Linked DNA regions of Lepisosteus oculatus. Each later gene encodes a partner of the first gene's protein in a complex. Links are inferred from orthologs where the notes say so. Each region holds a gene or a part of one and is shown on either strand. Other genes may lie near its edges.

Evidence for each region. The genes of interacting proteins can lie anywhere in the genome.
Region 2: tcte1 (region 1) and fbxl13 share a complex: the UniProt entries of both Homo sapiens proteins name them as parts of the nexin-dynein regulatory complex. The link is inferred for Lepisosteus oculatus from reciprocal best matches to the Homo sapiens genes DRC5 and FBXL13.
Region 3: tcte1 (region 1) and iqcg share a complex: the UniProt entries of both Homo sapiens proteins name them as parts of the nexin-dynein regulatory complex. The link is inferred for Lepisosteus oculatus from reciprocal best matches to the Homo sapiens genes DRC5 and DRC9.
Region 4: tcte1 (region 1) and iqcd share a complex: the UniProt entries of both Homo sapiens proteins name them as parts of the nexin-dynein regulatory complex. The link is inferred for Lepisosteus oculatus from reciprocal best matches to the Homo sapiens genes DRC5 and DRC10.

The regions. Positions count from the first base shown.
Region 1 is NC_090697.1:43,242,686-43,249,801, forward strand, and holds the start of tcte1 (dynein regulatory complex subunit 5), read left to right. Parts: upstream 1-4,096; 5' UTR 4,097-4,143; intron 4,144-5,130; 5' UTR 5,131-5,166; coding exon 5,167-5,371; intron 5,372-7,116. UniProt on the Homo sapiens protein: Component of the nexin-dynein regulatory complex (N-DRC) a key regulator of ciliary/flagellar motility which maintains the alignment and integrity of the distal axoneme and regulates microtubule sliding in motile axonemes.
Region 2 is NC_090702.1:33,829,039-33,836,100, reverse strand, and holds the start of fbxl13 (F-box and leucine-rich repeat protein 13), read right to left. Parts: upstream 3,013-7,062; 5' UTR 2,945-3,012; coding exon 2,870-2,944; intron 1,973-2,869; coding exon 1,881-1,972; intron 1-1,880. Other genes in the region: armc10 (armadillo repeat-containing protein 10), read left to right, coding at 3,460-3,733, 5,167-5,312, 6,496-6,630, 7,027-7,062. UniProt on the Homo sapiens protein: Substrate-recognition component of the SCF (SKP1-CUL1-F-box protein)-type E3 ubiquitin ligase complex.
Region 3 is NC_090708.1:16,857,224-16,864,470, reverse strand, and holds the start of iqcg (dynein regulatory complex protein 9), read right to left. Parts: upstream 3,013-7,247; 5' UTR 2,985-3,012; coding exon of another isoform or gene 2,965-2,984; 5' UTR 2,905-2,964; intron 2,872-2,904; exon of another isoform or gene 2,479-2,871; intron 2,395-2,478; 5' UTR 2,387-2,394; coding exon 2,243-2,386; intron 1,514-2,242; coding exon 1,389-1,513; intron 667-1,388; coding exon 538-666; intron 425-537; coding exon 343-424; intron 152-342; coding exon 1-151. Other genes in the region: rpl35a (large ribosomal subunit protein eL33), read left to right, coding at 2,965-2,984, 3,294-3,403, 4,428-4,470, 5,408-5,560, 6,946-7,090. UniProt on the Homo sapiens protein: Component of the nexin-dynein regulatory complex (N-DRC), a key regulator of ciliary/flagellar motility which maintains the alignment and integrity of the distal axoneme and regulates microtubule sliding in motile axonemes.
Region 4 is NC_090717.1:14,355,470-14,363,244, forward strand, and holds the start of iqcd (dynein regulatory complex protein 10), read left to right. Parts: upstream 1-4,763; 5' UTR 4,764-5,155; intron 5,156-5,540; 5' UTR 5,541-5,613; coding exon 5,614-6,291; intron 6,292-6,745; coding exon 6,746-6,979; intron 6,980-7,490; coding exon 7,491-7,562; intron 7,563-7,775. Other genes in the region: tpcn1 (two pore channel protein 1), read right to left, coding at 3,686-3,794. UniProt on the Homo sapiens protein: Component of the nexin-dynein regulatory complex (N-DRC), a key regulator of ciliary/flagellar motility which maintains the alignment and integrity of the distal axoneme and regulates microtubule sliding in motile axonemes.

The DNA of each region.
Region 1 (7,116 bases):
AACATACACACCCCTTACTTATGACAAAATGATTTGCTCTTTAATGGCCTCTGTTTTACTATGATGTGCTTTTTCTATAAAAAAATACAGAGCCTTGCAAAAATATTCACTTTCTTCCAGTGATGTCCCATTTTGTTAATTACAAATGGTGAATATGCAATGCTTACAGGGCTCCCTGATCCTTCTGAGATTCAATCCCGTCATTCATGGGAGCTGAAAACGTACAGCGCCACTCCCTAGACAGCAGATTATTCCTCAAAAAACAGAAAGAGTTATACACTTAGCTTTCAGAGGGGGTTGAAATCACTTCTGTAACTGGTCAGTGCATGGGCCCTGTGACAAAAACACATTTTTCAACTGAAACTGGTGGCGCACTGGGTAGCATTGTTGCCTCGCAGCGCTGGCTGGGTTCAATTCTGGACCTGGGGTGCTATAAGAAAGGAGTCTGCATGCTCTCCCTGTGCTTCTTTAGTGTGCTCCAGTTTTCTCCCACAGCTCAAAGGCATACTGGTAGTTTAATTGGCCTCTGTAAAACAACTGGCCCTAGTGTGAGTCTGTGTCTCAGACTGTGCGTGGGCCTGTCCTGGACTGGAATCCTGTGAAGGGTGTACCGTGCCTTGTGCCCTTGGCTCCCCTACAACCCTGAATTGGATGATGTGGTTAGAAGATGGACGGCTGTTTTTAATCAAAACCTAAATGCTCAAACTGTTCAAACCTTTGCAAGGCACTGTACGTTCATATCAGTCAATTATTTCCTGTTTAACACAATAACTTTAAAACATACAACTATTTTATGGTGTGGGCAAATAGACAGAGACCTGAAATAAGGATCTGAGAATCACGATGACTTGAGAAAATGGAGTTGAGCCATTGTTTCCATTCGTCAGTGTCCCTTGGGGAGAGTTATACCATCCACCTTTGTGTGCTGTCTAACACTTTACCCTGGCAACCAGAGGGAGGGTGATTTTGGAATCAGTATGTTTCCTGCCGCGGTGGGATGAAATTCTCTGTGCTCCTAGCCAGCAACAAAGCAAATGAGGAGTCTCACTGCAGGAATACTTACTTAATCGACCAGCCAGCAGCTCAACCACCTGTCACAAGACCCAAATTTAGCAGTGTGGGCATGCATAGCTATCAGTAGACGGTGCAGTTTTATCACGTTCTAGTTATCAGGAAGATAATGTTGTATGATCTTCAGGAGAATCAAATCTCATATGTGCATTTGTGGAAAAAAAAAGATTTGGAGAAAGAAGCTGGATCCTTAAGTCTATGAGACGGAGTGGTGTTCCAAGCTGGTTAACTTTTTTATGTTCTGGTGTATACTTCAGTAGTGGTGGAATAAAAGATGAGATGCCTGCCACCACTGTACATTAGAGTTTCTTCCAATTTCACACTGTGGCGTCATACATTTCCCCTTGGTTGGCTTCATATATCTAAGATCTCCTCATCTTTGTTATTGAAAAATTGTGATTGAGAAACAAAGTTGTCTTTTCATTTGGATTTTAAAAAACAAAAACAACCTAATTGTGTACCAAAACCCCTCAATTCAATTTCACTCCTGTCTCAACTTTGAGGAGAAACAAGATCTGCATCATAAATTAACATTCGCACAGAAAATAAAAAACGTAAGAGATGTAGAAATGAAAGACATTTTTCCATTTCAATTAAACCTCGTAAGCCACTCATCGCTGATAAATCGATCTTTCAGTACTATACCGTGTTTGCTATAGTACAAATATCAATTAAAATAACTTATAGCAAAAGTATTACAGTTTATTAAGTTAACTCAAAAGACAGACAAGTGTGAATTTGTGATTATGTCATGTTATTTGTTGATTCTGTGAACATCCCTTCCCCTGCAGTGCAGAACAATGTACAGCTCAGAGACCAGTGTTCAGTCTATGTCTGTCTGGAGCTGAGGAGTCAGATGTCTCCAAGACACTGTCAAGCATTCTCAGCACATAGAATAGACAGCTGCTCTCTTCCCTGTGAGTGTGAAGACAAATAAAGGAGAGAGCGCTGAAAAAAATTATAAATATGAAATAATTCTCTGCTGACAGAAATGTCCAAAGTGCTGTACAAAGACAAGATCATATATTAATCATTAAAAATCAATTAAATGAAGATACATTTCAATACCCAGCACTTCTAGTTCTAGAAATTAAATAAAACTTTCTTCAGCACGCAGTAGAATTGAACCTCCACACACAGCTTGGAGTCAGGAGTCTGACATTGTTAATTAATCCCTGCCTTACTTAAGGAACAGGAGGCACAAGTCATTACGTGTTACCCAGGGGTGACTGTCTTAACAGACCGTATGATCTGCCATGGAAATTGTGCACAATGCTGAACAAGGGATCAATGTAGATTAGTCTGTAAAACATTACTGAAACTGTTTACTTAATAACAACTAAATGTTTGTCAGTAAATGCTACAATTTAATGATGAAGTTAATAAATGTGTCTAAAAATATACAGACAGCTGTCATGTAGTACTTATGTCTACATATTCAAAGATCTAAAAAAAATCTATTCTTTTAAGGTGGTATCTTTCCTGTTAATTGTTTTCCAATTTCCTTGTTATGATTATTCCCCCCAAATTCTCTTTTCTATTTATAATCTTGTTTTTCCCCTTAACTAAAATACAAAAAACATGTCTGAAAATCTCTGGAGCTGTGAAGTGGAAGCACTGCATTGCACAACGTTTTAAAAACCCATGAAGCACTTTTCAGTAAAGTACATTACAGCATTATGGTCACCTTTTGAAAACAGAAAACATTATTGTATGCATAGACATGTCATAAAAAAAATGTATTAATCTTTCCCACCTACCAAGCACAAGTCTAAAATAATTAAACTGTCACATTTTTACATTTTGATTTTTTTTTACTTTAAAACACTATGTAAATATCATACACCATTCTAAAACATTTCAATTATATTATGATTTTATCAGAGAGCACTAAACGATGTTGCAGTTTATTTCTTTATTTGAGTAAATTAAATAATAATACTGTATATGTACTGTATATAAGGGTTGCCTAGTGGAAATGTTCCTGCGATAAACATTGGTGCTGTACCTTGAGCTTGTGCGTTACCCCGTTTGCTCCAGTCTTTCCAGCTGTGCGAATGGAAACTTCCATTGCTCTGCAGGGGACTGGCGTTCCCCTCCAGAAGGCGAGGAAGTCTTTCCTGGTTGTTTAATGTCGCGGAAAAAAGCTTTATCTCTGGCCACTAATGAGCCGTTGTGGAAATAACCTACGGAAAATAGAATGTAGAATTTGATCAAAGCTTATTTCTAGTTTCTCTTTGGCCATGGGTTTAATGAAATATTTTAAAAGTATTATGCATTTTATTGTTTTTATGATCATTAAAAAAGTTATGAAATCTTTGTGTTGTTGGACCATAAATTTGCATTTGTAAAGCAAAAAGTAATGCTACAACAAAACAAAAACTTTTTAGAATGTGAAATAATCTGACTTTAGGATATTTAGCTAAATAAATATATTTATAAATATATTTAGTTTTTTATGTAATTTATTTCTACTACTTTATATATGCGTAGTAAAGTTATTAGTAACCGTTTAAACGCTATGTCGATGTGAATGCAGTATGTCACATTTTAATATTTTTTTTTACTTCAAAACACTACACTTTATATATCATAAACCATTTTAAAACATTTCAGTTGTATTATGATTTTATTAGAGTGCACTAAACGATGTTACAGTGGTACACGCTCTGAGGGTTCGAGACAAGCCAGCTTTCAGAAGGCAAATCTAAAAAATGAAGCACAGGCATGTTAGCACAATTAACATATCTTTCAAGTTCATAAATATATAAAGTATTACATTTTCATGTATTCTTACTTGACAGTAAAAATAAACTGGATAATGTAAACATGTCTAACTAAATTATAATTTAAAATAATATGTATTTCATTCTATAGTTATGTGATAACTACCCTACTTCAATTTTTTTTTAATAATGGGAGCAGGCTGAACTAAAGGTTAGAAACCACAACTTTCGGTTTGTATGACAGTGCGTCGGTGTTGTAGCCAATCACTAACTGGTTCCGGGTTACCAAGGGTCAAGCGTTACCATGGATACAGTAAATAAACAAGACAGAAGAAGTACCAGTAAGGTATGTTTGGAGGGATATCTAAATAATGTAATTTGTGTCAGGGTGCATAGAACAAGTTTCCTTCTTATTTGTGTTATGGGTATTGCAAACATGTTTTTGCAATATGTTTTTTCCATTGTAAAATGTCATATTTACATACTTAGGAGACATTTCATCTCGTGTAAACCGACACCATCGAATTATATTATAGACACAATGTTAAGGGGCTGTGTTTTAGACACTATAGTGTGCTAAGTTTTGTGCTCTTCCTGAGGGTCACTGGGAAAATACAAAAATAACAATAATAATGTAGAATTGCTGAAAGTTATGGAGAAATAGGATAAAGGCATGGAGGAATAGTTTTGCCCCAGTGTTCTTATAATGTATAATTTAAGGTGTTTATCTATAGTGGATTTGGATTTTGGATTATTAGTCTGACATATAATTGTTTCTAATGCAGTCAATAAAAAACAGAATAAAAACACCACTTAAAGATGGGACAGAATGTTGCCTTTTTGACTACTCAAGACTGTTTGTTTAGGTGATCAATAAGATTCAACTGTGTCATCATCAACTCAACTTGCTGGTCTGCCATTCTACTCCATTGTTAATTCAGCCTGCTGTTTTCATCTTTTGAAGATGGCAGCTGAAGGGAGCTTTTAACAACATAAACAACACTATTGTCTTGAAGGGCATAAACTGTGTTGATCCTCATAGATATTTCAAATGGAGAGTGAAAACGTAATTAACGCAGGTTTGCAATTAACATGAGGCTGTCCTTTTCCTACAGGGATTTGATTTATGCTTAAAATCAATCAAACAGTATAGTGGAATTGATCAGTTAGGATCCTTCAGGATTTACTTAGAAAAATGTTCTTGGTACTTTACTTAGCTTTTAGCCAGTAAGCCTGTAAAGAGTTGTTTTTATGCTGTTTGGAGTTTTGATGCAGAGATGGTATTATGGAAAAATGAGTGTATCGCTTTCGTTTGTCTCCTCTTTCTTTTCAGAAGACAGGATTGTAAACATCTAGGGCATACAGGAAGATGCCGGATATCATGGACATCCAAAGCAAGGCAGCAGCCAGTCCTGGCACAAAGCCACGCATTTATCCGCCAGTGGCCAAACTCAATCCTGTTGCTGACCCACGGAAAATGAGAAGGATCATTGCGGAGGACCCAGAATGGTCTCTAGCTGTAGTTCCCCTTCTTAAAAACCTGTGCCTACAACATATCGTTAAAAACTTCCATAGTAGGTTCTTTTTGCCTTTATCACATTTTTATGATGATATTGTAGAGCATGTATGTGAGTGTGGCTTTCAAGTGAAAGCATGTGAAGCCAAGAGCCTTCTGGAATTAACATATCAGGTTTTTTAAAGTCTTATTAAACAATGGCAATATTCAGACTTCAGAAACAGTTTTTTAAGAATATATTTAGAGACTGGAAATCCAAAGAAAAAGGATGGAAAAAGGAAAAAGGTTTTAGATTTTGAAGTAGTTCAGGTGAGTAGCTGCGTCAGCATGCGTAGGCTGCAAAGGAACAAGTAATAGGTTTATTCCATGTGGAAGAAGGCTTGGACACCTGAAGAAGGCTCCACGGCCGAAATGTTGTGTTTTCTTTCTTCTTTTTCTCAGCATGGAATAAACCTATTACTTGTTCCTTTAGATTTTAAATGCATGCTTTACATGTGTTAACACATGTGTTAACCACTTGTTTGTTAACAGCAAAATCAAAGTGCAAAGACGTGTTAGAATGTGGAGTCTTCGGGGCACATTGTATTCTAGAGCTACAGTATGATAAAGTCCTGACTAGCTTTACTCCTGTTTTCTAAACAAATCTTGTATTCCCCAGATGACTTCTGGTCTGATTCTCATTTTACTCCCTAATTGAGAAGGATAAATTCAAATTACATGTCATTGCTTTTATAGATTGTATGACTAAAACAGAAAGAAAAAAATAGAAGCACTTAATCTAAATTTAACCAGTTGTAAAATGTTAAAGCTCTCAAAAACCTTTAATGATCAATTACTACCAAAATGTATAGGTGTGGCAGTAATGAGTTTTTAAATATGTCAGAAACCATTCACTTTTAGTTTTGAACACCAAAATAAAATTTCGTACATCTTTTTTCTGCATGATTTAACATGATAAAATATACATTGAGAATGAAGATCATGATGTGTTTGTGCCCCCAGTGAATCATACCATTTCATAAGACCTTTTAGCAGGTTTCTGTATGTCACAATTCATGACACATAATATTGAACTGGTGAGCCCCAAAGTAATTTCATTTCAGTTAGAACTTGACGCCATTTCTTCAATCAAGATTAAGTGTAAAGTCTGTTCTGCTCTGAAGCATGCTCTTGAGTGAGGCTTAATGAAAGTCAGTGATGAAACTGTCTGATTAACCACAGAAAAGACATTTTAAATACAAGACACAGTGCGTGTTAGGAATACTAAAATTTATTAAGTTCCAGTATGAAAACCCTGTAGTGCTCTTGATCCAACACTGACACTGTGGGGATACAAATTACCTCCATTCTCTCATGGACACTTGTTATTTATTTGAAGGAGTAGTTTCTATTATGTATATTTCCTTTAAAGTACTGTGAAGCAATACTATGACTACATCGTTACCTTCCCAGCTGCAAAAAATCAACTCTTAAATCACACAAAACACATTAAATTGAATATTAAGGAAATAAAACAACATATTACATTAAACAGAGTATATTTTTTCAGAATTTAACATATTGGTCTATAGGCAAATACCTCAGACATTCCAGAGATCTGCCCTTTCTTTATCTCTTTAAAATAAATCTGTATTAATGGATGGTATTTGTTTAAGGATGGAACTTTGTATTTCATTACTGTTTGTAATTAATTAAACAATATATAGAATTAATAACTATTAGTATAAGAAATATCTGAATTTTATTTTTTAATTACTATCAATGTATGAATGTATTCAATGCTAATTTATTTTGTATATTAAC
Region 2 (7,062 bases), on another chromosome or scaffold:
CATGCCCTGCCTGGAGAAACCCCTGGACAGAGTCATGTAAATGTTGCTGATGCAACACTATGCATCACAGATCATTTGATAACATAGGAAACAATGTGATGGTGGAAACTTACATGATGGAAAGTCTACAGTACGTAACACCCATTGTAGGCAGACATGTTTAAAACATCTTTTGATATAAAGTTATAAAGTTATAAAGTGATATAAAGTTTTTATAGTTTTGGCTTTTGAGTGATCAATGTTCATATTTTCACACTACAATTTTATTATCTGTAAGTTGATGCTGTGAATAGATTCTCTTTTAAAAAGAGCCTCATTTGACTATATGGGGGCTTTAATGAGGATGACTTTGCAGTCCAGAACACCTTTTTTATTATACATAAAAAAGAATATTACCAGATACTGTATATACTAGATCTGTATTTCAAGAAACCCCCGTTTGATGGTTTATATTGTCAAGAAATGCAAACAAATGCATACACCACTTTACTTATTACATGACATACTGTCACTATATTTGAATTAACCTGCCCTGGAGCCGGTTAAGAGTAGAGGATATGTTGCTATAGTTACTTAACCAGATACAATTCAGTCTTGTTTCATGAAACTAAAAATCCAGACTTTTGTTAAAAGGTTTACTAAATTCACCAAATTAAACCAAGTAATCTCACTTTGTGAAACAGTCCCCCACCACTGTAGAATGATCTTTCAGGGAGCAACTCAGTGTTTCATAGCAGTGTATGTCCTGTTCACAGTGGGAATTTATGTTACAGTCTTATATCAATAATGTGACCTGAGATGGAACCCATTAACAAAGATTAAACTTTAGAAATAAAAAAGGACTGACCACAGAACCCATTTTGAAGAGCCGGTTGATGAAAGCCAGCATGTTGAACAAGAGACCAAAAACAATATTTTATTTCCTGGGCACCTTTGACAGTGTAATTCAAATATTTTTGGGAGTCTTGCCAGTCCTAGAAGGTTCCACACAAAGACTAAATATAGACATCAGTATTTGTTATTTCAGAATACTACAGTCAATTTATTTCAAAATGCAGATTTAATTTATCTTACTGTAAATAAAGTTATTATATATTGTAAACCTGTCGCTGATGAAGCATACTCTCATGCCTCTAAAAGAGAACAGTACATGTGTTTGCTCCCTTTATAGACTGAGCAAAGCTATAAGGAATCTTTAGACACACAGCTGAAATATTATGCAACACTGCATTGTGGTGTATGGTAAAATTATACTGGGTATGGTGAATAGACTGCATGGCGAAATTATAACAGGGCCGGAGGAAAATCATCTCGTTTCTAACGTTCTTTCACTACGTGATATGTGTAAAGTGTTTATATGTCCTATAGGCTGTTTTACAATAATCTTAAGGGCACGTCTAACGCTACAGATGCTGCTTTAACAATTAAGGTGAGAACGGTGCCCTCTAGTGGAATTTCTATAACCTTCTTTATACGCAGTTTATCTTCTAATCTCAGGGATTGTTCAAATACAGCCATTGAGGATATTTTACCATCTCTACTCTTAAACACTTTATTTAACTAATTATTTGATGACATGGACACAGGTAAAACCTTTTTTGACCTTACCTATAGTTAATGGGATCAACAAAACTCTCAGAGCTTAATTAGACGTCAGTTGTGCGTTCTTTGGTTTAATCAAAACTCCCAAGAAATGTCCACTTGGAACTGGTATTGATCCCCGTCACAAACAGGCAGGGCTTTCACTGCGCATACATCGGCCTGATGGGGTAACGGCGCTCACATGTACAGTACAGTATGCCACTCTGTAAGGATTCTTCCAGATTTGTCCTAAACCATTCCATTGAATAAAATGTCCCATCTATTCCAAATTTACCTACCAGTTCCCATTTTCCTGAAACTCTTTGATTTTCTCTTCCAAGAACTGTAACGGGTTTGCAGGGCACACAACACATAACCCGGATAACAACGCCTGTCGATAAAAAATATATATATATATCACTTCCATTATCATGAAAATTTAGAGAAAACGCACCTTAGGACAAAGCAATACATAAACCTAATACAGGTTACAAATCAGAGTAGTGTTTCTACCCTTTTCGCTTGATTCACACCTAAAAATCGTCAAATATATATTCTATTCAATTCAGTTAACTTTTATATAGCGCCTTTCACAACAAGGTTTCCCCAAGGCGCTTAACAATGCAATATACAAATATAGAAAATATACAGTTTATCACGTTAAAATGGAAGCAATTCATCATGCCTGGTGAAATGTCATTACCGATTACATATATGCAATTGAATGCCACACCTTTCGTGTTTGCCAGACTACAGTACTTTGCAATTTTCCACGCCAGTATTTTATGTACTATGATAAAGCCAGAATAAGTGAAACCTGTGCAGTAAAGAGTGCCTGGTGTGTTCTCTGCCTTAGTGGAGATGTAACTGTCTATACATATTGACTTTATTCTTGGATACTCTCGGCAGTGGATCCTTGTTCGCACTTCACTGGTGTATTAATTAGATCAAGGGAACAGGAATTCCAGAAAAGTACTGGAGTAGGTAGATATATCCAATTGTTGCCATGAAGCTAGTAATAAGAAATTACAATTTTGTGATGCACACCAGATTAATTTAACTTTTTAAATACATTCTATATAATTATATATTAAACATGTTTAATGTATTATATTATACAAGTGTTGTCTCTCGAACGCTGAAAGCTTAATGATAAGTAAATTCCATTACGTTTTGCAAAGCTAAAGACCATGGAAGGTACCCCTTATGGATGTCAGTACAGCGTGTTATTCAGTAAAATAATTGTAATAAAAGTCTATACTGGAAAACACAGAAACGTCAACCCTACTTTATAGATCTCAGGAAGTGAGTGTTGCATGATGTATTTTCTCAAGACCGGATCTGCTTGTTGCAAATTATCCATTTCTCTCTTTCAAAACGTACGATACTACAAGTTTTTCGTATTTTCTAAACTCCCTCTTGAAAACTCAAGTCTGTTTACAGTCACTAAGTAACTAAATTGGCTCTGGCCACGCCGCTGGCCAAACGAAAATAATCCCCGTGTCTGGAACTCCTTGATGGGAGCCTTTAACACGCTGCTTATGAGCTTCAGTTAATGCACGTGGAATTACCATACAGTATATTGATACTCTTTCGTTTTAATTATTATATTTACGACATAGTCGATTACTAGGCTCTAAAAATACCAATTTGAATAATCCACTTCATACAGTATTTCAAGATGAACAATTCAGAATCCGAGAGATTCAGTTAGAAAAACCCCGTGAAAACGTTCGTTCACCCTTCTGTTTGATTAGAGTCATGTCGCAACTGAACTGTCAACATGCTGTTCGGAAATTGTTTGTTTTGCTGAAGCTTACCATATAAATAAGTATTTGATCAACTTTGTGCTCTTATGAGTCAGATCTCGAGTCCACGATGGCTGACGGTGCCAGTGTGGCTCCCAGCCCGTGTAAAATGAAGGTGTTGCTGGGGTTACTGGCCGGGGCTGGAGCCACTTACGGGATTTACAAACTAGTGACTGCAAGTAGGAATCGAGCTAATCAATCCCGAAATATCGATGTTGTAAATGAACATTGCTCAGGAAAAGATGAATCCACGAAAGCGGTTTTGCCTGGGAGTTTGCTGGAAAAAGTGTTCGAGTTTTCTTCGATTCGTGGGAGAGATGTTCGTACAGGCGATGGTTCATCGCGTAAGTCTGTCTCTTACTAAACAAGTCTACGTGCACCTGCTCTGTACTCTTTCGTGTCCTGTTGTTGTTATTTCCTCAAATGGATCACAAAGTAAAATAAACTCTCTGGCGCTAAAGATTGTTGCTGACACCATTTTACAGATGAAACAGGACAATTCTCTGGGCAGCTCACGTGGTTATGTGAATTATTGAATATATTACATACCGAAGTGTGAGCATGTTTATACTGGAACCGCACTGAAATAATGAATGTAGTATTACCGACTTAGTGGTACAGTCAGAGTGATTAATGCTGAGCTTGAAGTGATGCTCTCACATTGTGCAAAGTTCGTAGTGACATACGCTGAGCGGCCAGTTTATTAGGTACTGTACATATCCCTTCCCATGTACTTGAGGGCTTAATCAGAGACATCATCGTGCAGACGATGCTATTTAAAGCACGTAGTCAGGTACAGTATCTCCGGGTCGCGTGTGTGCGATTCAGAGGGAGAGTGGGCAAGACAAAAGACTTAAGTGACACTGAACACGGGAATTCAGTTTAATGTAATGCCTCCTAAGTCACTAGATTTCAGTCCAGTCAAGCACCTGTGGGATAATGGACAGAGTTATCCGAAGTAGAGATCCATCACCAGCTAATTTGCAGTTGCAACAACTATGTGACACATTTGGAGTCGACATGGGCCTGTATCCCTGTGCAGCACTTTTTGCACCTTGTTGAGTCCAAGCCCCAACAAGTCCGGGCAGTTTAAGGGGAGATGGAAGACCAACGTGCTATTGGGTAGATGTACCTAACAATGTGACCACACACTGTATGTGATTCTGAATCATGTGCAGTTTCTCAACAGTACAAAGATGCGGTTTAATATATAGAAAATGGAAAAACCAGAAAAACAAATAGCATAAGTGCACATGTTCAGAATTAAAACCTTCTGACCGGCTGTTTCTTTACTTAAACTACTTGTAGATACAATACAATAATGATAATACAAGTTTTTGGTAGTGTAGAAAGTGTAGTGTAAATGAGAAAGCTACATCAAGAGCAGATCATAAGGATGTCTGTCCTTAGTGGAAATCACAAAAATATTTTAAAAAAACAACCATATCCTCTCAAAAAAAAACAGATGTATTCTATTCACCTGTTAATTTTGAAGTTCCTTAAGCTCTTGTGTATAGCCAGTACTAGGTGCTGGATACTCCACACACTTTACTTTCTTTTGAATAAATGTGCATGAACAGACCACTGGATCTAAAATTAAATATTTGGACTTCTGACTCTTGATTACTGTAAAGTTTGTAAAGGATGAAACTCCAGTGCGGTGATGGTCTTTTTATCCTCCCTGGCATTAATAGAGGTATTTAGATCTGCCAAATATTTCCCAAGAATTTAAAGCGCATTTCTAACTTGCTGTTTTACCTGTGCTTTTAATTTGCAGGTGAAATACTCTCAAAAACTCCTGGAAAGCTGGACCCACAGCATCTAGAGATGCTTCTTTCCCTGCTGCAGAGTAATCCTGACACATCTGAAAGAATGCAAATACTTGTCACTCTGGGCAACAGTGCAGCCTTCTCTGTGAACCAGGTACCACACGTAAATTAATTCAGGCTATAGGCCTCCGGAATACTGAGTGATTCCTGAGGCCAGAGGATCAGGGATCATTTGTATTTTATGCTCAAGGGCATCTTACAATTAACTCACTATAAAGGCAGATAATTTCCATAGCCCAGCAACACTGGGTCACTGGGTCTGCTTATCCTGGTTTCCATGGTGTTAAGTGGACAAGAGAGCATGTGACTCTCCTGGACAGGTCACCAGTCCATTACAGGGATTCCCGCCCCACAGTACTGGTCCCCATTCATACAGCTGGGAGAACTGAAGCAACTGGGATAAAGTGCTTCCCTTAAGGTACAACACCAGCATCTGCAGTAGGGACACAATCCACCTGTTAAGAGCCCAGAGACTTATCCACCCAAGACACTAAATTGCTAAACACTATAGCTGCTTAATAACACATACCTGTAGATTATATATTTAATCACAAACTTACAATATATTGTCAGAAATATAGTGCCTGCAGGAAAGGTAAACTGCTGGTACTTAGCAGTGTGGTAATTACAATGCAGCTCCAGAAGGAGAAGTCTTTTAACGTCACAAAACAGCACAATACAAATAAGTGCATATCGTATACAGAGCAGATCTGGGCTGTCCAGTCTAGATCCTGCTGGACCTTTGTGTTTGCAGGTTTACATTCCAGCTCGGCTCTTATTGAGCTGAACCAGCTGGTTGCTGACCTAACTGGACAACTTTCACAGCTTCTCACCTTTCGGGTGCCGCTGCTTTGAAGAGACCTAGGAAACCTGCAGACACACCCACCCTCCGGGACCAGGAATAGACACCTCTCGGGTAGATAGTGTGTGGTTTAAAAAAAGCACAGCAGTGGAATAAATAAGGGAGTTGAATATCGCAAGTGCAAAACATTGAGTGTCTTCCAGGTCCAATGAATGTCTGGTTTCATGCTCATGCTGAACTCTTTCTCCTAGTCTTAATCCACAAGGAAGAAGGCAGACGATTTCACAGGGAACATTCTTCAGCAATCAGCACTACCAAGAGTTTTTTTAAGGAAAAATGTTGCGGTTTCATGTATTCAGAGGAGAATCTTTGTTCTCGTTCATCTTATATACAGTAATGGTTGTCAGAAGTGCTTTTGTGGTGAAGTAGTCATCCTGGAGAATGGATAAAGATTGTATGTTTTTTCCGACTGCAGGACTTTATTCGTGAAACGGGCGGCCTTAAAATCATAGGAAACCTCTTGTCAGATCCTGTGTTTGGCATCCGAGTCCAGGCCTTAAATGCTCTGAACAACTTGAGCATGAATGCCAAAAACCAGGAACAACTGAAGGTACGTCTACTATGATTCACAAAGCTGCCGCTGCTCAGGGAGTCTAATCTAGTCTGAGCGCCTCACTATTCCATCTTTCAGCTTTTCTGTCTTTTCTTTATAAAGATTTTATTTCATTATCATTATTATTTTATTTCTGAAGTCTTATTGATGCTGTAAGTCATAGTGGATAAATTAATGATAGTCATCTATTTCATAGAGCTTAAATGAAATCTTTCAATGATCAAGTATTAGAAAATTCTAATACACTGCTACAGAAGTGCTTGAACCTTTGTAATTTCACCTGATTTCATGTTTATACAAGCTGTGCATTAGATATGAATGGGTTGTATTGTCTATCGCTTTTTGTCTTAATGTATATTCTACCTGACAGTTACATTTGGATTTTCCCTATAGGAATATATTCCAAAGGTACTGGAAATGATTGAGATT
Region 3 (7,247 bases), on another chromosome or scaffold:
CCTGCAGTTGCTGCTCAGCGTGTCCATTGAGCTTCTGGCCCTGGTACACCTGCAGCTCCGCGCTGCTCTTCACATACTTCCCCTCCAGCCCAGTTTTGGCCTTCATCTCCTGCAGCTGGTCCTTCATGTGGGCGATCATCTCCTCCCGCTTCTGGGGGTGAGGGGTGAGGAGAGAGAGACATGTCAGACACAGAGCAGATAAGTTATAAAGCATAGCTATTACTGTATGTAATGATGGCATGCCCATGTTATTACACTATAATATGGTACATCCTTGCAAGGGCATGTTTGAGTTATTATACTGCAATAGTGTGTGTCACTCATTGGAATGTGTTTTTATACCTGCAGCTCAAGCTCTTTCTCTTTGCGGATATCCAAAAGCTGTCTCTGCAGAGCTCTGGTTCTGCGTCTCCCCTCCTCTTCCCTGCCAAAAAGCGCATGCAGACACGCCCACACAAAGTCATTGCCAATGTCCGATGTCCACTTTGCCTGGTACTGAGACCAAAACTTTCTGAAGACTAGAACTGAGAGGCTGACCTGACTATGATGTCGTGGAGGTGTGCCTTCCTCTCTTTTTCCGCTTGGACAGCCAAAAGCAAGCTCTGGAATGTGCCCTTTTCCTGCAGCTCAGCCAGGACGTCGGAGATCACCTGTGCTGCAAACTGCCTGAGACAGGAACAGAAAGACAGAGAGAGGAGAAAGAGGGACACAGAGCAAAAGGCAGAGAGAGGAGTGAGATGGAGAAGGACAGACAATTAGAGTAAGGAAAGAAAAGGGAAAGAGAAGCAAAGAGATTTGATTGTCCAATGTTTAAATTTAACTTTAATTTCATCTCACAGGTGGTTTAATTGTAAAAACACCATTCTGAATCATAGATTAAGTCGTGTATCCAATACAATTCGGGCTAGGATCATGATCTTCTTCGATGCCTGGATTCCCAGCATGCTAGATGCCAGTAGCATTCGGTGGTTTGAGCTGGCCGAGCAGGAGACCCTACAGCACCATCAATGAGAGTCATAATGTTCGTTCAATCAGTGCCAATGCTCCTGTAAGGCACTAGAGAGCTTGCAAACAGCACATCTAGATGGGATAGAGAGCATATCAAATGGTGTGTGCCACATTGATCAACAACTGTCAGTAACAGATTGGGAAGGGTCAAAAATAAATTGCCATTTCAACATTGTATCATATGTATTTTTTATTTGTATCTTTCAGACTTTTGACCTATAGGAATGCTCCACAGAGGAGTAGGTCAGTGGACTTAGGTTATATGCAATTCCGTAACGCATGCAAGATTTTTGCAGAGCTAGAGAGCCAGAAATTGAGAGGAAGTAGAGAGATAGTAAGACAGCAGGAGAGAGAGAGAGCCCATTCACTGCAAAACTGACCTGTCTCTTTGCACCTTGACCAGGTGCTCGGGGGTCAGGGGGTTGTGCTCAAGCATGCGGCTCAGCTCCACCTGGGTCCTCTGCAGCGCCCCCGTGACCTGTGCCAGCTTTGCCCTCTCCTGCAACTGCAATTACATCATCTCCGTGAAATACATCTCTGCCCCTGCTGCTGCAACACCTGCCCAAAGTGAGCAGACACAATCCGATAGACAAACACACTGAGACACCTAGACACAAAGACACTTGAACACACACACATAATCTGACAGATTAAACCATGAAAAGACGGGTCTCACTCTGGTCTGTAGACAATGTAGCATCCACTTCCTCCTCCTCCATCATTTCAACCCATGATTCCCTCTGTCCCACACACCTCTTGACCTGCACCTCCTGTCCTCAACCCTGGCTGCCCTCCAAATTCAGATAGATCTAAATATGTCTATATTGAAAATGACTGATTCTCAACTTTTATTCAAAAACTGAACTTTCAGTTTGCATAAAGGGGCATAAAACACTCCTAAACCCTTCACGTCCACTGCAAAATTCAACAAGGCCTTTTAAAATCTTCCCCTCTGGGGATTTCCTGAATAAAATATAATTGTATTTATTTAGCTATGGCTGGTATAAGTATAAACTAGAATTTAGAATAGCATGTCTTCTTCGCCACAGACGTGAACAACATACAGCTAGAGAGAGAAACTGAGACACCTGACCCAGCATAATCTGAGAGACTCACACAACGGACAGTGTTACGGGTTCTGAGACATATATTAGTACACGAAGACAACATGTCAGAAAGGAAAACACATCGAGAGACACATTGACAGACATGACACATTGAGACAGATACAAACTTGTGGGTGAGAGAGTACCGAGTCAGCGTCAGGCCGCCCCTCGTACGTGGCAGGCATGATGTGACCCAGCACGGCCAGTTGATCTGCGCCGTCTTCTAGAACCGTGCACAGCCGGATTTGCTCCACATACGACTGGAGAGACATCGTGTGCACTGCAAATGCAAATGAGAACTTAGTACAAATGATCTGTGTGCAGATTGTACAATTATGCAGGTTGCTTCAATAATGTCACTTACGCAGATACTGTAAACTCAGATTGAATGATATTGTACGTTAATACTGTATAGTCGGTGTGACTGACAAAGTCAATATCAATGTAACTGACAGTACAGTTTGTCTCAGGGCGTCCCTTCTAAAGCCCACTCGGCACTAAAAACCGGAATCTAATCAAAGTTTTAATATTAACAGTGTGCACGCTGGAAAGGTCAGTAAGCATTGCAGGTCCAATAGATACTTCCCATTCCCCATTAGCGACTTCAAATAGTCTTTTAACACTTTCAAATAGGTTACCAATTTCTACCAATCTCAAAATCAAAATTCTGCTGCAAGAAAAATGAAATGAATCGATCCAATATGTTAAAATAGATGTCTGTAACTGCTGATCAATAACTTTCCTAAAACTTCAAAGACAAAATAATAATACTGTCGCAAAGATTAACCACCGTTTCAGTCAGGTTACTTTTCCAACTCGTGAAAATTGCTCGATGTTGACACCGATCACCATGGCAACCGCACAACCGTGGTGAGCAAGCTTAACAGTTGCATGTACTTTTTTTTGTTCATGTTAAATTAGTAAATACAATATATATATTGAAGTATATACTTGAAGCTTAATGTTTAGTTTATTTTAGTGGACAAGAAACTTTATTTAGTTTCTGAGGAACAAATGCAAGTAAGCGAAGTAAAAAGGCTAGTCTATAAAATTGCCTGTTACAACAAATTGTAAACGCAAAGCGAATGATTAGTTTTGGACATATGGAACTTAAATATTTTCTGAGATTTTTTAAAACTAAAAAATGTTTTTAAGAAACTAGTGTACTTCTTTTAAAAGCACATTTCTAGTCAGGCGCTGTTTCAGTCACGACTCGTGCGACGATGGTGTTGATTTCCCAGCATGCCCTAAGGACCCCCCTTTTTCCTCCATCTTGGATATCAGTACAGGTGAGAGAGATAAACAGCGTTTAGAATCAACCGGTTTTTAAATAGTTTTTAAAAGTATAGTAACTATAATATTACTTATCTTAAACAGCCGTGAGTCTTATACGGCTTGTTTTACCAGTGCTGTAGCCTTTGAGCTGAAGATGGCCGAGATACTCAGTGGATTTAGCTTGGAATCCCTCGGGTGAAATGTAAAATGCCCCGGCTTCGCAGGAGCTGAGCCTCGGCCGTTCAAACTCAATTTTATTCATTAGATTCCCATTTAAAAATACAAGAATGTCTCCGAGCCCTGTAACTGTCAAAACCCTGGTGTGATTTTTAAAATTGGAAACCATTTATCTTTCTTATAAAATGATGGTTTTATTCATTTCTGCCTTACTGACTGAAGTTTTGCTGTATGGTCAGTGAGTGTTAATGGTGGGAGCTATTATGCAGTGTGTAGTCATATACACGGTGTTTGTACCCCGAAATCATATACGTCCCCGGTTGCTGCCGTTTTGGGTGTATGTATGAATTCTCGTTTCTCGACTGCCGAGTCCGACACCTTATTTGCTTCCGATTGTGTCTAACCGGAACTGTGGCGGTCAGGCCCTTTTAATGTAATATCGTGGCTGAACTTGTTGCAGTTTTTCCCAGCAGTTACATGTCCCTCACAGCTCAGATAGGTAGAATCGTGAAAGTGCACAGTGTTGCCCGGACCATGAACCTTCAGCAATAGTGTCTTTTAAAATGAATTACATGTGTTTCGTGTAGATAGTAGTTCCTCGTGCAAATGTGTACGTGTTCAAAGAAAACGGATGTCCTTTGCTATTTCCCACAGGAGCTGTCACTATTGATACAGTGTGCGTTACCGTGATGTAGAGCTAAAATCCTCAGCCGTGGTCCATCTCTCTTAGCTGGGTTGTGTTGTTTTTTTCCCCCAAAGTAACTTTCGTACCTAGAAGTGGTCATCTGTGTATAGCTCCTTGTGTTTTAGACTAACATGATTTTATTGTGTGCTGATTATGTGCTCCCTGTCCATCTCCAGGCTTGGCTGTGACTGAATACTCAAGCTTCACAATGCCAGGAAGGTGAGTCCTTTGTTTCTCACTAATCAGGTATTCTTGGAGCTGCCTTTGTATTGGTGAGCATTGCTGAATAATAAATTTTAAAAATCGACCTTCCTGCAGTGGGAGTGTAACAGGAACAGAATCTGTTCTTTTTGGAAGCAGAAGGGTTTGTGTTTGATCGGTACTGTGCTGTGGCAAACTGGTGGGTTATCTCTGGTTTAAACTAACACTTCTCCAATGTGCTTTATTCCACAGGATATACCCTTTAAAACAGCAGGCTATTTTACACACAAGCAGAGCTCAGTTCTGAATTGAGTGATTGCCTGTATTACCCGGTGTGATGCATTTCAGTGATTTTTAACTTCCATATGCTCTTCTCACTTCTCCACCTGATCTACAGTGAGGTGGGGTTGCAGAAAGTTGCAGCTGTCTCTCAGTTGATGGATGAAATAGATCCCCTGCTATATGCAAATTAGGATGAAAAGTGCAGTACAGATTCAAGTATTTGAAGAAAGTAGATGTGAAGTTTAATATCCAAGTGGGAGCCTTTGGCTGCTAATTACTCCTTCGGTAAGTGATTCTGGTGTCCCGAGCTTGGCCACTGCAATGCAGTGCAGTGATTTCAGGTTCAGTCTTCAGTTCCTAGATTGCTTATCCTTCAGCAGTGCTGTGCGATAAGCATCGCTTTCCCACTTGTATAGGAGCCTTCAGTTAAAAACCTGACATGGATCAGAGTGCTGTCTTTTTTACATGCAGTCAGTAATGATCTCTGCCAGTTGGCTCTTCACTTAAGATACCTAGTTTGTATCAAAACCGTGATCCTATCTAATAAAATTACAAACATTTGCAGTGTCTGCAAGGGGCAATGAAGAGTGTGGATCGTGCTGCAGGGTGGACAGTCTCTTGTTGGGGCTGTGATTGTCTTCTGACAAGGGCTCTTGGTCTCTTTCCCCCCCAGACTGTGGTGCAAGGCGATCTTCACAGGGTACAAGCGAGGCCTCCGGAACCAGCGCGAGCACACGGCGCTGCTGAAGATCGAGGGTGTGTACACGCGCGAGGAGACCGAGTTCTACCTGGGCAAGCGCTGCGCCTACGTCTACAAGGCCAAGAAGTGAGTCCAATGCTGCCGGCGCACCAGTGTTAAACTGGGTGTGCCTGTGAAGGTTCTTCTTGGTATGCCACTTAAGTGTTGCAGAGAGAAGCTGACAAGTTCTCTTAAGCCGGTTCCCCAACCTGGGTCCACATTTACTAGTGGGTAGTGGGAAGTCCTCATGTGTGTATATATGTTGTATATAGAAGACCTCGCCCAGCTGCTTTAGTGCTCTATCTCATTTTCTTTAAGCAGGCAGATTTCCAGTTTCAGTTATTGAATCCAGTTAGTGGACGGTAAGGTTTAGGGATTTGGTAACAGGAAACGTGCTTCTTTGTTTAGAGATCTGTTCTGAAAAACCGAGCACATTTATGGTGCTGCTGTGCTGTATAGTTTTATGGCATTGTCCATATTTGTTCTTTTGCTGCTGGACTTGAAGTGGATGTGCTGCCAAGTTCTGCTGGCCCTCTAAGTGCAGCAGCAAACACAGATTTTGTGTCTGGTGTCTGTTTCAGGAGGATTGAGCTGGCATGGTTCAAACAAGGCACAGCTGGAACAGTGTTAAGATTTTTTTTTTATCTGTATGATGTGTTTAATAATTGGAGAAGGTTAAACTTATTTACACATGTGGCACACTGCTAGCAGCTCGGTAATACACATCTGCATGTAGAACTGTCTTGTCTCTGTACCTGCAGGCACTTCATCATTTCGCCTGCCACTTGTTATTCCAAAAAACGTATTAAATATTAAAAGAATAGGTGTTCTTGACATATAAGGGATGTATAATTATGCACTTAACATTTAATGAGGTACTTACCATTGTTTCATAGACAGGGCCAATACTAAATTTTTCATTGAATGTGTTTGTGTGTCAGGGCAGTTTCCCTTGCAAACTGCGTTTTTCCTCTTGTGCTTAAAATATGGTTCTTGTTCTTGTTTATAGCCCTGTGTCATACAGAATTGTGATGTTTTGAATATGACTGTATTACAGGCAGCACTGAAGGAAGAGCAGCTTTCAAATAAAGAATAAAATCATTTCTGTCAAAGGCCGTTAGTTAGGGGATGTGTGGCCGCATTTAGTGGTGGGTTGGCTTTTGTTCCCTTATCAGATTATCCTTTGCTTAGAAACAGATGCCATTTTTATCAAGATTGACATTAGCCTTCTTGCTGTCCCTCACAGCTCTTCTCTCTTTCCTGTCTCTGTCTTCAGATCCCATCATACACCCTCCGTCGCTCATTCAAATTAAAGAGTTGCTGTTTATTTAGTTTTGTGTTTGCGGGGGTCACGTTTGCTCGATTATGTCTGTGCTCGTTTTCATTCCGTGTTAGAAGATATCTGCAGTTTTGGAGCTGCCTGAATAATTGCTGTTTGACTGAGGCCTCTCTCGCTCTCCCTCTGTCTCAAGGAACACAGTGACTCCTGGCGGCAAGCCCAGCAAGACGCGCGTGATCTGGGGCAAGGTGATGCGCGCTCACGGGAACAGCGGCATGATCCGCGCCAAGTTCAGCAGCAACCTGCCCGCCAAGGCCATTGGGCACAGGATCAGAGTGGTGAGTGTCCAGCCTTTGCTCTGCTCTTCCTCGCGTCTGTCTCTCGCCTCTTCATCATTACTACCACTGGGTGAGCTACTGGAGGGAGGGTGAACGACACCCTCTTCATCCCTCCTTCCAAAGCTGTGGTCACTTATAAACTGGTCAGCCTCCTTCA
Region 4 (7,775 bases), on another chromosome or scaffold:
AGCTCCCGCGGTTAAGGAGTGGATGGAAGTACGAGTCTCACCCCAGAGCAGAATCAGAAGATGACACACACACTGAGCACACTAAAATGCTCTTTGACTGGATATGTTTTAGACTGCACATCAACAATCCAAATTACTGAGATGAACACAGCAAAGCAAAGGACAGTCTGGTGAATGGTGAGCTCACTTGAACGTGGCAGTGTGTAGCTCTGTGTATCTGAGCTCACTTGAACGTGGCAGTGTGTAGCTCTGTGTATCTGAGCTCACTTGAACGTGGCAGTGTGTAGCTCTGTGTATCTGAGCTCACTTGAACATGGCAGTGTGTAGCTCTGTGTATCTGAGCTCACTTGAACGTGGCAGTGTGTAGCTCTGTGTATCTGAGCTCACTTGAACGTGGCAGTGTGTAGCTCTGTGTATCTGAGCTCACTTGAACGTGGCAGTGTGTTGCTCTGTGTATCTGAGCTCACTTGAACGTGGCAGTGTGTAGCTCTGTGTATCTGAGCTCACTTGAACGTGGCAGTGTGTAGCTCTGTGTATCTGAGCTCACTTGAACGTGGCAGTGTGTAGCTCTGTGTATCTGAGCTCACTTGAACGTGGCAGTGTGTAGCTCTGTGTATCTGAGCTCACTTGAACGTGGCAGTGTGTAGCTCTGTGTATCTGAGCTCACTTGAACGTGGCAGTGTGTAGCTCTGTGTATCTGAGCTCACTTGAACGTGGCAGTGTGTAGCTCTGTGTATCTGAGCTCACTTGAACGTGGCAGTGTGTAGCTCTGTGTATCTGAGCTCACTTGAACGTGGCAGTGTGTAGCTCTGTGTATCTGAGCTCACTTGAACGTGGCAGTGTGTAGCTCTGTGTATCTGAGCTCACTTGAACGTGGCAGTGTGTAGCTCTGTGTATCTGAGCTCACTTGAACGTGGCAGTGTGTTGCTCTGTGTATCCCACTTTACAAGAAACCAGAGCCACATTGGGCACATGATGTCACCCTGTTCGAGGGTGAAATCCTGTCCACGTCAATATGCATCCTTATAAAATAAATATACACATCATAAATATTGTCCAAACTACAAAAAGTGATCACATTTGTCCATTTAAAAAACAGCACAAGTGAACTAATACCATTTTTCTGTGCCAGGATCGTGACTCCAGTGGAAGGCCGTGGGGGGACTATAATCTGAAAGTTTACTAATGCAGCTGAAGTTCATGGACGCTTCAGTCACTCGGGAACCACTTCTGTCCAAAGTGACTTTACTGTAGCAGATGCCAAAAGTTGCAAGAACAACAGCTGCAGCAAAGTCAGTAAGAACATTGCAAAGCATAAAGCTGAAGATGGTTTAGTGATTTGCTCAGGGTAACACACAGTGATTTAGAAGTACATCCCAAAAATAACCCACTTTTCTTAACCACACCTTTTCCTAGAACACCTTGACTTTTTAATGAGCTGCAAGTAAAATATTCTTCTGTAAATTAGCACACTGACTGGTGGCTAGATTAGCAGTGACTTCTCTTTTGTAGACAAATGGCTTTTGTTAGCCTTCATCTGCAGTGACAATGTTCCATTAGCATTCTAGGGTGAATCAGCGTGAAAAACACTATCTGGCGCATGACACTGACCAACGTCAAGCAGCAAGCGGGACACCTGTGAGTCTTGCACAAAAAGCGTGGATGAAGACATCCAGCTTAAGCATCTTTCACATCTTGGGGCAGATCCATCTGTTCTGCTTTTAAATGTCAATTAAAATGTTTATACAGCCAAATACAGCCGACACTGTTGACCAATTTCACCACTGGTTAAACATGAAATGAGATTTTTGAATAGGAGACTTATTCTGCATATATTTTCTACAAACATGTTGTGCTAGTCGAAAATGCTTCTGTGCTTTAATCCAAGTGTAACCCATTCTAGTGAAATACTCTGAATTGTGCCTGGTAGATTCTGTGCTTTTCCTTTCTCTCTCCTGAAAGAGGTTAAACAGTAAACACAATTAAAAAAAAAACAAAGTCATTCTTCCTGGGTTGTATCCTGCTATGCAGATGATGGAGGTCTAGAGTCTCTCCAGATGCGTGATTAGCACAGACAGCAGCTGGCTTGCTAGCTATAGCTCTGGCGCCCTCTGTGGAGCAGTCTAGGGGTTCGCGCTGCTTTTTGGCTTTTCCAAACTGCCACACAAGAGCCAAGCAGACATCCTGACGATCTGCCCAGGACATCCTCCACTCCTGTGCTGCTGGAATGCGAGACGTCTGTGGTCGCTAATCACGCCTCGCTTTAAACCTCTTCCTCTTCCTAAACCTTGGGTGTTGCAACAGCACCGCGCTCCACCCACCCAATGGTCAACTGAAGCACACAGCCATTTGCAAACACATGCAAAAAAACATGTTGCATTTCACCAAATTCTCACTGGATGTTTTTGCTGCTGCTGCGATTCCTTGCATGGTCATCTGCTGAGGATTTCAATTTCAAGACCTCATCCGATCTCTAATTCATCAAGTTCCTCCACTAGTAATGGACTAGAAACCACATCCTTAAACATCTGCATTGGCTCAAGATTTCTTTTCACAACCAGTTTCAGTTGCATTTGCTGGAAATTAAAACAAGGTTTGGCTTCATCTTTTCCTTGTGTGTGGGTAGTGTTTAGGCCTCTGTTTCAATGAACTGCTTGCTATGGATACAGGGTTTGTGACCAGTCCCAGGAGGAGTGCATCTTGGTGGAAGCAGAACTTCTTACATGCACTGTATCACATTCCAGATCTTCGGAAATATCTCCCAAATTACATCCAAATCAGCATCATGAACAAGAGGCGCAGTTACTGGTCACTAAGTTGTTTTAACTCATTTAGATGAGACACAGATACTTGGTATGAAAAAGCCTTGTTTTCTTTCTCAATTCCTTTATTTCCATGTAGAAAATGAAATGGTGACATAAGAGCCTAGAACTTGTCCCATTGGCACAGCTCCTGATGCCTTCATCAGTTGAGATACAACAAATTTAGGAATATTAGAGAACAGACACAATCCAATTATAAAAAGGTCATCAGCCCCAGACTCGCATCTGGGCATCCCTGCAAGGTGCCAACAAATCCGTTTCAACGCTAAAGCACAGCGAAACGCACTGTTTTAACATCTAAAGGCTGTAAACTGCTGTGAAGTATAAATCGCTCTTAGAGGACCCAAAGCTTCACCGTTCTATCAATGAAACTTGTGTTGCTTTAGTGTCAGAATTTGTAAAAAGCTTTCAGAACTCCTCAGGGACGGGCATTAGAAAGCGGTATATAGTGAGAGATTAAATTGGAAGTTTTAAAAGCATTTGATTAAGGACTTAAAGCAAAGAGAGGAATAAAAGTTAAAGCATTAAAAAGACCAATGGGTACAAAGATCACTTTATGACAAAGCTCGGGGGGAAAGCCATTATGTGAAGGCCTTGAAATCTTCCAAACCCACCCTTTAATGATGGACAGAATGTACCTCGTTACAGTGGGTGTAGACTGTGAAACGAATTCAATTATAATCCGTTTTAAGTGAAACACGACAGGCAGCTATGGGACACAACAGACCTTTAGCTCTGGGCGTGCACTATCATTTCGTGCTAGGTCCTGTCTTTGCAAATTGAACGGTGAACACGAAATTTCCACACCGGGACTCGGTCCAAGAGCACCATCACTCACCCAACAGGAGGGAAGCAAAACTTACTTTCGCTCGTCACCTCCGCGTTGTCTGGCTCCTCGCCGCCCAGCAGTCCGCAGTTGGCTTCGTCCCAGGTCAGGATGAGCGGTACGTCGTCATCTGCGTTGCTGGCCATCCTCCGAAAAGGCCTGTCCGGGGCAGGGCGACCCTCGCTCGCTGTCTGTCCCACAATCAAGCCACCCTACCAAGTGGGTTTCTCGTTTGGCTTATCCAAAACTTCTCCAGCTCCTTTTGCATAATCAATGCCAATCGTCTCGGAGTGGTAAACTGCAACGCAAAACCAAGAGCCAGCAGTTCACCTGCTACATCCACCAAACTGAAGAGACTGAAGAGTCTAGCTTCAGTTTGTTGACAGGTTTAGTTTTAAAAACCCAGTGCGTTTTATTGTGCCAACGCCGCTACAGGACACTAAAATAAAAGCAAATATCGGATCGTATTTCAAGCGCTATAAATCTCTTTTTACTAAAAGAAATCTAGTCCAGATTGTATTTCATGTACCGACCATCGGAGTCATCAATGTTTCTAACGTGTACATGCATTTAAACGACTTAACATGATTCAGATAAAAATTCAGTAACAAAACTATCCGATTTTGTGACGTTATAGCGCTAAACAGAGCTCCTCCGACAGCTTCTTTAGGTTTAATTTCTTGAGTTAAGATATCAGAGAGAAAAACGGTCTCAACTTCTGTCTGTTGTTGATAATAACAACACGACGATTTATTCTGAACTAGTGAAGAGCTGTCATGTTTTGAGTTAAGCTAGCTTCCACTAACCCCAACGTGCATATCTTCCAAAACGGAAAAAAATAAAAGCAGGCTTTTAGGTAACCTTCGCGGAACCAAAAAAACATACCAATCCTTTAAAAAACATCGCGCAAAAACATTCTTGTTACATTTTGTAACCAGACCCTGCACAGCATTAAAGAGCCTGAAGACAACCAGCGCACAGGCCCGCCTCTGCTGCGATGCTATTGGCTGGTGTCTGTTCTCTGAGTCCGGTTCTGCCCTGTGAGTGGAGAACCAACCTGTCAATCAGAAGCGCCTCGACTCGTACGTGGGGATGAGAAAATGGCACGTGACGCGCACATCTCTGACTCGTTTTTTTTACAATTGTCTTTACGTCGCGTATAAGAAAATAAGGTCTTTAGCTCTCAGTTAAGCCGTTCTGGAAGTCACATGCATTAAGCATAGCTTGCGTCTAAAGTTTAAATGCCGAAGCAACGTCGTCTGGTATAATTCATTATAAAGCAGTTAGAAATGTATATAAAAACTGCGCTTTAACACTAGGGTCAATGTTTTTTTTGGAAAGGCCGTGAGAAACTAAAACCATTCAAACTACATTCCCAATAACGTACAGGGATTGCTTCCGGTCACGATGCTGCAGTTCAAGCGCTGATTGGCTGTCAAAGCGCCGCCTGCATTGCGGTTTCCTAGCAACGCAGATAAACTGCAAGCAGAAACAAGTTCCCATTGAGGTAGGTGAGATATAGCACCAGTCTATTTTTTAATTATGCATACATTTATTAAGAAACATGTGTTTGTGTTATGTGTTTGGTCCGTTATTCGTAGCTGTATTCTATGTTGCACTGGACTTTTTAAAATAAAACTTCATGGTCTAAAAAAGGAAAATAATATATTACAGTTCATTGTGTTGATTGTGTATTTAGCTATTAACAGTAAAACTGCAAAGTTAATTAGAGGCGTCAGTGTAATATTATTAAAAATCATGTAATCTCCTAAACACGTTTTCTCTGCTGAACTGTAAATAACTTTCAGTTAAGTTCTCAGGAAGTTCTCAGGAAGAAAAACGTGAAGAAAAACTGCTCCTCCTGATTCCTTCACGTGTCGTTCTGTCTCCAGGTGACCCCAGGACCTTGTGCTGTAGCTGAGCGGTGTCTGCTGAGGAGCAGAGGAGCCTGGAGACCGACGGCTCATGGCCATGGAAGTGGCTGTGCTGCCGGTGGGGGGTGGCTGCCGACAGGCCGCCAGTCCCAGCCCTCAGCCCCGCGCGAGCGGCGCCAGGGAGTCTCTCAAGATCCTGGACCCGGCCCGCAAGAAGCTGAGCTCCCTGGAGACGCAGCGGGTCGCGGGCGTTCTGGACGAGTGCATCGCGAAGGTGGAGCTGGTGGCCCTGCTGCCCACGGTCCTGTCCGGCCTGGAGCGGCTGTCGGTGGGGCTGGGGGCCGAACTCGCGGGGGCCCTGCGGGAGCACGAGCGGCTGGGGCAGATGCTGGCCGCCCTGCGGGAGAGGAGCCAGCGTCAGGGGCTGGGGGGCGAGAACGAAGACCCCCGGCTCCCGGGCCTGGAGCAGGCTCTCCGCAGCTCCCTCCGCAGCGTCCTGAGGCACCTGCGGGCACACCCCAGTGCCACCCACAATCTGAGAGGGCAGGCGGGCGCGGGCGGGGGGGCTCCGGGACTGGCGTGGGGTTTGGCATGGGGGCTGACGGAGCTGCGCAGCCTGCTCTTTGAGAAGCTCCTGACCGGCCCCGCGGAGGAGCGAGAGAGGAGCCGGTACATCCAGGAGGTGTCTCTCCGGCACCAGAACAACGTGGGGCTCATCTCCACCCTTGAGAGGGAGGTGGCTGCGGCCGCCCGGGACAGGGATGCTGAGGTAGGCAAGGGGCCCGTTATGCGTTAGGAGATTGACAGTCCAGGTGCTGTCCCTACGTCCTTTTAAGAGCATAACCAGAATGCAGGGCTGCATTGACTTATTTCAAGTCCAAAGTGTTCCTCATGGCGGTGTTAACTCCCATGGAGTTGGAAAGACAGAAATGATGTGCCGTGATGGCAGCCTCTGTATCTAGCCTGCACACATATATTGTACATATGTTCATATATACAGTGTTCTGTCCAGACACTCAGTGTGCATAAGTGTTCATAGATAGATAGATACTTTATTGATACTTTATTCATACCGCCAACCCAAGCCTGGAAGGGCTGGTATTTTCAGTTTCCTGTGGTCAGTGTGGTGTGGAAATTCTGTGCTGTGTTTGTTATGGTGCTGTGAAGATTTCCCCAGAGAACGTTTCCAGTCGCGACACCAGCCACCCTGTCTCCTTGCTTAGATTTCCAAGAAGAATGAGGTCATCCGCAAGCTGAAGGGCTCCCTCCACCAGATGGAGAAGATCTCGGAGGACTTCCTGAAGCGAACCCGGCAGGAAGCGGACAAGCAGACGCAGTCCGACCACAAGGCCTCGGAGAGCCGCTGCGGGCGCATGCAGCAGGAGATGGGGCAGCTGCGCGGGCGGCTCTGCGGCCTGATAGCCGAGAACCGCGAGAGCGAGCTGGCGCTGAGGAAGGTGCGTTTCTTTTCAGTTCCAGGGACCTGAGCCCATCCTCCAGTTTGAACCGAATTACAGTACTAATACAAAAATAATCTCAATTGCCTGCGGCTTCATTTCATGCCAGATTTCAGTCAGTATATTTAGTTATTTTGTTATTTCTGCTTAGAATGTTTGCCAAGTAGAGATTTTTTGAGGCTTGGAAGATCTTTTGAGAGCAACACGGTGGTGCAGTAGCAGCGAAGGAGCCCTGGGTTCAATCCTGGCCCGGCTGTGCTGTCTGCCTGTGTGCTCTCTTCATGTTTGCATAGGTTTCCTCTTGAAACAGATGTCCTTTTAATCACAATACCATTATGGTTGTATATGAGCAAATGTTATTCTTTCCTCAGATGGAGGGTCTGTAGTGGTGGCCATAATGCTAAACAGTGAATGTTGCATTTTCAGAAAAAATAGTTCTATGATGTAAAGTTTTAGAAACTGGTGCCCTGCAACTATTTCATTTTCTCAAGTATAACCTGCTTCTCTACAGAGGAAGTACAAAGTGGAGACAGAGATTGAGAACTGGATCCAGAAATATGATGTGGACATGGGTGAAAAGCAGGTAGAGAAAAGTTTTTTCCCTTCATCCATAGTCATGCACATGATTATGGCGAGAACTGCTCATTCCCAGATATCAATAGAATAGAAAATATATCTGAATTAGAATTCAGTCACTCACACAAATATCTCACACAAACTCCCAGCCCCGAGCCACACAGCAGCCTTCCGAACAAGGGTGAATTATTCTAGAATAAGGCTGGCTTTCTGTCATGGG